2 linked regions of the Macaca mulatta genome follow. The protein of the gene in region 2 purifies or fractionates together with the protein of the main gene of each other region. This does not show direct contact. Links are inferred from orthologs where the notes say so. Each region holds a gene or a part of one and is shown on either strand. Other genes may lie near its edges.

Evidence for each region. The genes of interacting proteins can lie anywhere in the genome.
Region 1: the proteins of LIG3 (region 2) and TDP1 purify together in Homo sapiens (affinity purification with mass spectrometry; 4 studies listed by BioGRID and IntAct, with this or other methods). This does not show direct contact. The link is inferred for Macaca mulatta from reciprocal best matches to the Homo sapiens genes LIG3 and TDP1.

The regions. Positions count from the first base shown.
Region 1 is NC_133412.1:163,256,218-163,259,784, forward strand, and holds part of TDP1 (tyrosyl-DNA phosphodiesterase 1), read left to right. Parts: intron 1-727; coding exon 728-794; intron 795-2,487; coding exon 2,488-2,595; intron 2,596-3,567. UniProt on the Homo sapiens protein: DNA repair enzyme that can remove a variety of covalent adducts from DNA through hydrolysis of a 3'-phosphodiester bond, giving rise to DNA with a free 3' phosphate.
Region 2 is NC_133421.1:44,515,523-44,519,089, forward strand, and holds part of LIG3 (DNA ligase 3), read left to right. Parts: intron 1-1,480; coding exon 1,481-1,612; intron 1,613-1,984; coding exon 1,985-2,064; intron 2,065-3,126; coding exon 3,127-3,214; intron 3,215-3,567. UniProt on the Homo sapiens protein: Isoform 3 functions as a heterodimer with DNA-repair protein XRCC1 in the nucleus and can correct defective DNA strand-break repair and sister chromatid exchange following treatment with ionizing radiation and alkylating agents.

The DNA of each region.
Region 1 (3,567 bases), on a different chromosome or scaffold from region 2:
TATGCAGTTATAGATGTTAAATTACCATCACCAAGTAATTCAATTATAATTTTTTCTTTTCAAAGTGTACTTTTAATGGGGAAAAGCGTGGTATTTTTAACAAAGCTGTTTTATAACTGGCTTTGAAACTGAATGGTTTTAGTTATCTGCAGTTGAAGTTTTGAAACTGAATGGTTTTAGTTATTTGCAGTTGAAGCTTTTGCAGGAAAAAGCTCTGTTCCGCTTTACTTGGTGAGTTCTCGTCCTCAATGAGGTAATTTACTTTTATTCTTGACACAGGAGAAGAATTGTAAATAGTCCTTACATTCCTGATGGGAGAAATCTTTTTAATGTGTTCATAATTCCTGCTCTGAATGTTGAATGGGTTTCTAAAAAGTGATTAGCAAGTTGTCATTAGTTTTCACTATGTTTGTGTTACATGAGCCTTATTTAAAGGCATCCCATGACTATACTTTGTAAAGTATATGATCATCACTTACTTTTGCTTATAAGTCTGGATGTTTATAAGATTTGTATAAAGTTAAAACTGAAGGAAGGAAATCTCATTAAGAGAACATATCTAATGCAAGTATAGAGATATTCTTTCAAATAACTGTTCTGTAAGATGAAGTAATAGAAGTAGTTTTTTTCCTGTTACCTTCTTGCTGTTTATTATAGATTTTCCTCTTAATGAGGGCTCCTCAAATTATATTTCATAATTTTTATTGTTTTATTTTTCTTTTAAAAGCTGGGGGCTCTCTTCCCTATAGCATCCAGACAGCTGAAAAACAGAATTGGCTGCATTCCTATTTTCAGTAAGTAATTGGTTTAGACTGCTGCTATTGCTTCTTTAGGAATTAGAATGTTATTTATGTCACTGGTTTGTTTTTTTTAAAAAGGAACTTTATGTAATATAGCTATATTCTTTCATCTACATATGTTAGTGATAGAAATAATTTAAAACAAGGTTTTGAATTTTTTTTTGGAATAGGTTCTTAATACCAAAGAGGAAAATTTATTGCTGTGAGGTTTCTATTTAAATATTGGCATGCCAAGAAAGATAAATAAAAGATCATGCTGGGTAGTTTAGAATTTACATAAGCAGTATTTTAGTTCATTTTTCCAAAATATAAAGTATCATTATTCTGTCTGTACCATCATATGTGCAGCTGCAAGCTTGGTGAGGGCAGATTCTATGCTGCTGTTTCCTGAGGATACAGGATAGTATCTGGCATGTTGTCAAGAGTTCAGTAAATGCTGAGTGGACAAGTGAAGGGAATGTGCTTCATCCTTCTCCAGCCACAGCAGTTGCACAGCCTGCATATGCAAGGCCAGTCTGTTTCATGCTTGTCTCAACAGGTGTTTGCTGTGCTGGTTAGCCAGAAATGAAAGTAGAATTACTTTGAATTATAGCTTTCAGCTGTAATTCAGTGTGTTATCCTGAAGCTTTTCTTTAATGCTTTCTTGAGAGGTTTTTCCTTACAGAGGACATTTTTTTATATTGAACTCCTTTCAGTATTATATTATTAAATTCACTTGAATGAAGACAGTGATGGTACCTACCTAAGCCTGATTCTGTTTTCACAGACGATCTGGTAATCTGGGGGGACCATCCTCCTATAAGTAAGGATTGTTGCTTCATTATATAGGTTCCCATAGAACCATAGTCTACAGTATTGGAAACTTAGAAACCAAACTCAGATTTGTGAATGTCAGCATTTGACTAAAGTGTTTCTGCCCTCGCTTTTCAGCATTCATTTTTTTCATATACTGTTTGTATTTTGTCTTTTTTGTATTTTGTTTCATTCAACAAGCTTTTGCTGAGCCTGTATCGTAACACTCCATGGGAGCATGATTCTTCCCTTTAAGGAGCTCACAGTTCAGGCAGGAGACATATGCACACATGCTGTTAAAAGCACAACAGAAGGGCCAGGTGCCGTAGCTCACACCTGTAATCCCAGCACTTTGGGAGGCCGAGGCGGGCAGATCACGAGGTCAGGAGATCGAGACCATCCTGGCCAACATGGTGAAACCCTGTCTCCATTAAAAATACAAAAAATTAGCTGGGCGTGGTGGCGGGCACCTGTAGTCCCAGCTACTCGGGAGGCTGCGGCAGGAGAATGGCATGAATCCAGGAGGTGGAGCTTGCAGTGAGCCAAGATTGCGCCACTGCACTCCAGCCTGGGCAACAGAGCAAGACTCTGTCTCTAAAAAAAAAAAAAAAAAACCAGAAATAATATGTATGCGTGTATGTATGTTCATGGCAAAAATGGAAAGGCTATATGCTGAAAGGTTACAGTTCTTGTGAGAAGTGGGAAGTTTGTAATTCTAAAATGGGCATGCGTTATTTGAACGCAGTTGTATAAAATATCACAGGTCACAGAGTCGTGTAGCCACTGTTAATTTTTAGATAATAGGCTTTTTCTTTTCATGCAGTTTCCTAATATTAGGATTAAGATCAATTTGTTTTATTTTGTAATTAGTGACTTGTGTCTTTTCTGTCACTAGCAAATGGTCAGCTGAGACTTCTGGCCGCAGCAATGCCATGCCACATATTAAGACATATATGAGGCCTTCTCCAGACTTCAGTAAAATTGCTTGGTTCCTTGTCACAAGGTAAACAGTCCTTACATTCCTGATGGGAGAAATCTTTTTAATGTGTTCATAATTCTTGCTCTGAATGTTGAATGGGTTTCTAAAAAGTGATTAGCGAGTTGTCGTTAGTTTTCAGTATGTTTATGTTACATGAGCCTTATTTAAAGGCATCCCATGACTAATCCCTTTGTAAAGTATATATGATCGTCACCTGCTTTTGCTTATAAGTCTGGATGTTTGTAAGATTTGCATAAAGTTAACATTTACTTCTATTATTTAATACCTCAATAGGGGTTATGCAAATTGACATTTGGGGTAAGTACAGAAGAATAATGAAATGTTAAAATTAATATTTTTTTCTTAGTTTCTCCTTAAGTAATTAAAACCCGAGGCATTCAAATCTCTTATGTGTCCTTTTCTAAAACATCTTTAAGATGTAATTCACATACCATAAAACCTGCCCATTTAGTCTCTACTATTTAATGGTTTAGTATAGTCACAGAATTATGTAACCATTGCCATAATCTAAATTTAGAATATTTTCATCACCCCTATAAGAAACCACCTACCTGTTGGCATTTTTGTGTCTATTTTTATAGGAAGATAAATTGCTATGCCCTTTGAAAACTAGAACTTTAGTTCCTGACTCCCAGGCTGAACCGAACGATTAGGCATCTCTTCATTATTCAGTAACATAATTAATGTCAATAGCAACTAATTAAAGTATCACAGAGTAGAATTATTTCTTTAAGAGAGGAACAGCACTCATGAACAAACTTTTAAACAAAAGAGCCACTTACATCTTCTTGGAGAAAGAGAAAGATTTATTTTAAGGAACTGGCTCATGCAGTTGTGGGGGCTGGCAAGTCCAAAATCCATAGGGCAAACCAGCAGCTTGGAGATTTAGTAAGACTTGGTGTTGCAATCTTGAGTTTCTTTCTACTTTATTGGAAAAGTTTAATTTAATGTCTGTTTGGGTGTTGTTTTCCCTCA
Region 2 (3,567 bases):
TCCAGTAACGAAGGGCTGCTCAGCAGGGAGAGCCAAAGAGCCCTGACTTGGGTTAGTGAGGATAGAGCTCCCTGGAACAGTGATACTTCTTTTGCCCACAGTGATGTTGGTTGGGACAGTGAGCTCACTTGGTGAGTTGCTGTGTATCTTTTGTGTTTCCATGTCCCAGATGCTTCCCGTGAGCTAGACTAAGGCTTATATACCACAGGCTATTGGGCTGTCATTCATTAATTTGTTCAAGAATTATTTATCAGATGCTTCCCCATTGTTATAGCTAGTGGGGATATAGCAGTGGGAAAACTGGACAAAAGTTCTGGCCATCATGAAGTTTACATTCTGATATAAACACAGTCTTATGGGGACATCTGAGAGCCAAATTCCTGCTCTAATCGGGGTGGCATTTGGAACCTTACTCCTTAGCCCTTCTCCACTCCCAAGGCTACTGTGAACCTTTGGGGGTGTCTTCAGGAAAAAGCAGCTGGAACATCTGGCTCCGGTAGCTTGTGAGCAGATGGAATTCCTATCCTTGCTATCCTTTTCTTTCCTAGCCCAGATTCAGTTTTTCAGAGCCCCAGGGGGTTCAGGGGAACGTGTTGTGTGGCCCCTATGCTTACCTCAGCCTTGCCTTCCTGCTGGAGCACTGGGAACAAAGCAGGCCATTTGTTTCATATGTTCAAGAGGAGGGCTAAGCAGTGGCCTCATTGTGGAGCTTTAGTGCAGGTTCACATGTTCTGTGAAGCACTGTAAATCACTGAGGAGCTGCTTCTGGTGAGGTTGGTGTTAAATAGACACCATCTGTGACCCAGGAAGAAGTCTAAGCACACTTTTCCAGATTTAGTCCTTTCCTTAATTTTCCCTTACCCAGTGTTCACTCATCCTTTGCCTCTCCTGTGATTTGGGTTCTTAAAGGGCTAGGTTAGGGATTGAAGGGGAATGGCATGGATGTGCTGGCCTTTCCTGTTCCTGCTCTAAGCATCCTGGGTAGTGATGGCTGTGGGTTCAGGGCTCCCGCTCAGAGAAGACACTGCTCAAGTTTCCTTGTTGCACCTGAGGGGGTTCATTTCTACCTTTCTGTTTTCAAGCAGTCTGTTCTCCCCTAATCCAATCCCCAGCCTGACAGTCACACATGTTCCACAGTAGGCACTAATCTCTGCCCACCCACCCTCCTCCTCCTCCCCCAACAGGTTTAATCTCTCTGTTTCTTCCATTTGCCTCAAAAATTGTACCTTCTCTACAGCCCATAGAAAGTGACTCAGCATGGGCTGACCTCTTCCTGGGGCTGGACAGAAGTACTGAAACAGATGGCCTCTCCCTCTTGTCCAGGTGGCTCGCAAGGCCTAGCTATATGTTTTGCGCATTAGCTGGGCCTTCCACATGTTGTTCTGTATCCCATCTGGGGCCCAGGCTTTGCCCTATATGGCATGGTTTGGGGTCCCTGCTGCCATGTCATCCCTCACCAAAGCTCCCCTTCTGCTTTCAGGTAGCCCACTTTAAGGACTACATCCCCCAGGCTTTTCCTGGGGGACACAGCATGATCTTGGATTCTGAGGTGCTTCTGATTGACAACAAGACAGGCAGACCACTGCCCTTTGGGACTCTGGGAGTGCACAAGGTACTGCCTCAGGGCTATATGTGCACGAATGAATGAGTATGTACATGTGGATGCACGCTGCAGTCTGAAAAGGAAGGAAATATCACTTAGTGTGGGCCTTATTCTTCGCTTCTGACCTGTTTCTGGTTTGGTTTTTTGTCTTTTGCTTTTCTCCTCAAAAGGGACTGGTATTGGGAGCCAAGTTATAATTGGGTTGGTTTCCATTTAGCACTATCTGCTCAGTGCCCTTATGGCCCAGGGGCTTCAGAGCAGAAATAGGACTTTTTCATTCGGTGCCTTAGGGGGCCTCCAGAAGTGGACTGGTACTCCTTATTTTGTCATGCTCTGTGACTTTTGTTCTTTGTATACCTACTACCTCATTTTCCCTTACAGAAAGCAGCCTTCCAGGATGCTAATGTCTGCCTGTTTGTTTTTGATTGTATCTACTTTAATGATGTCAGCTTGATGGACAGGTGAGTTGGCTAGCATCTTTAAACCCAGAAACTGCCAGGAATCTGTTTTCATTTCCTCGATGAGGAAGATGGGGGCTTCAGGTTGGAAAGGAGGGTATGGGGAACCAGCTGGCACATACGTTTGCACTCAGGAGCTTGCCAAAGGCAATGGCAAGAGGGAGCTGAGAGGAAGCACAATTGCTACATGGTCCGCTCCCCGTTCAGTGTAAGAAAGAGCCCACATGTTGACTCCATCTCGTCTCTGAGAGCTTAAGTCACAGAAGAAACCCAAACCCCCAAAGAAGTTTCTCTACTAAAGCAAAATGGACTATTGCAGAGAAATAGACTGTGAGCATATGGGGTTTCAGTTTATTTCTCCAATGACACCCCTGGGGGCATAAGGCAGATGGTTTTCAGCTCAAACGTTTTGATTTCAGAAGAGACTGACAACAGGAAGCTCCTGATTATAGGGGAGGCTATGGGTGGGACCATCTTGGAGAGAATGAGCAGTCTTGACTTAGCTGCATCCATATGCTTGTGCCTGAGAAACCAATATCAGCCCTTTCCTCACTTAGAAATGTATCTCTACCCTGTTCCTCCTGCAGCAGCCACATCCTTGATCGGGGAAGGAGAAAGAAGTAGAGAGGGAAGGAATTGGTGGGGGTAGGATTTGGGGTTTGGGTCCCGAGGCTTGTCTCAGCCTGCCTACCCAGGGGTTGGCCTTGGGCCTGGGGCAAAGCAGGGTGCGGGGGATAAAAAATGAGAGTTGGAGTCACTTTTCAAGTGGTACCAGAATTTATACAATCTGGGCTAGAGGCCAGTTCTCCCTTGGCTCGCTTGATGAAGTAGAAATAGGAACTACAACTATGAACTGGCTCTATGCCACAGCTCACAATTGTCCATCTTCGGTCACGATGGAGCCCTTGCAGCCCTTGACAGCAGAGCTGTTACACATGAGGTCTTTGATCCATGGCAAACCCTTTCTTAAAGTAGCAGCTTTATCCTTGTGGCCCTTCCTTCCTCAGAATTCCTAATAAGGGTGGGAGGATCCCGGCCTAACCTCAGCTCTCCTGTTCTCCTCAGGCCTCTGTGTGAGCGGCGGAAGTTTCTTCATGACAACATGGTTGAAATTCCAAACCGGATCATGTTCTCAGAAATGAAGCGAGTCACAGTAAGTGAAGACCCTACGCTAGGCAGTGTCCTAGAAGTTTGAAAGCAGGGCAGAGAACTCCTTGGGTCAACTGCAACTGGAAGAATAAATCTTAATGTCTTATGCAGCCTCCTGATAATGTTTGCATTTGACTGTTGTATATGTTGTCTGCTAGTCTTCACCCAGAAGGGTAGGGCATGGAAATCCTTCCTAGGTAAGCCCCCTGTGTTTCAAAGCCACAGCAGCCCTCTCGTTGGAATGAGAAGCAACCTGCTTTCTAACCCTTTGTCCCTTATATTCAAGTAAGGGTGTTTCCATTGGGCACTTAAGTAGTGTTTGAAAAGGAACAACCCCCTCACCACCTTCTCCACTCT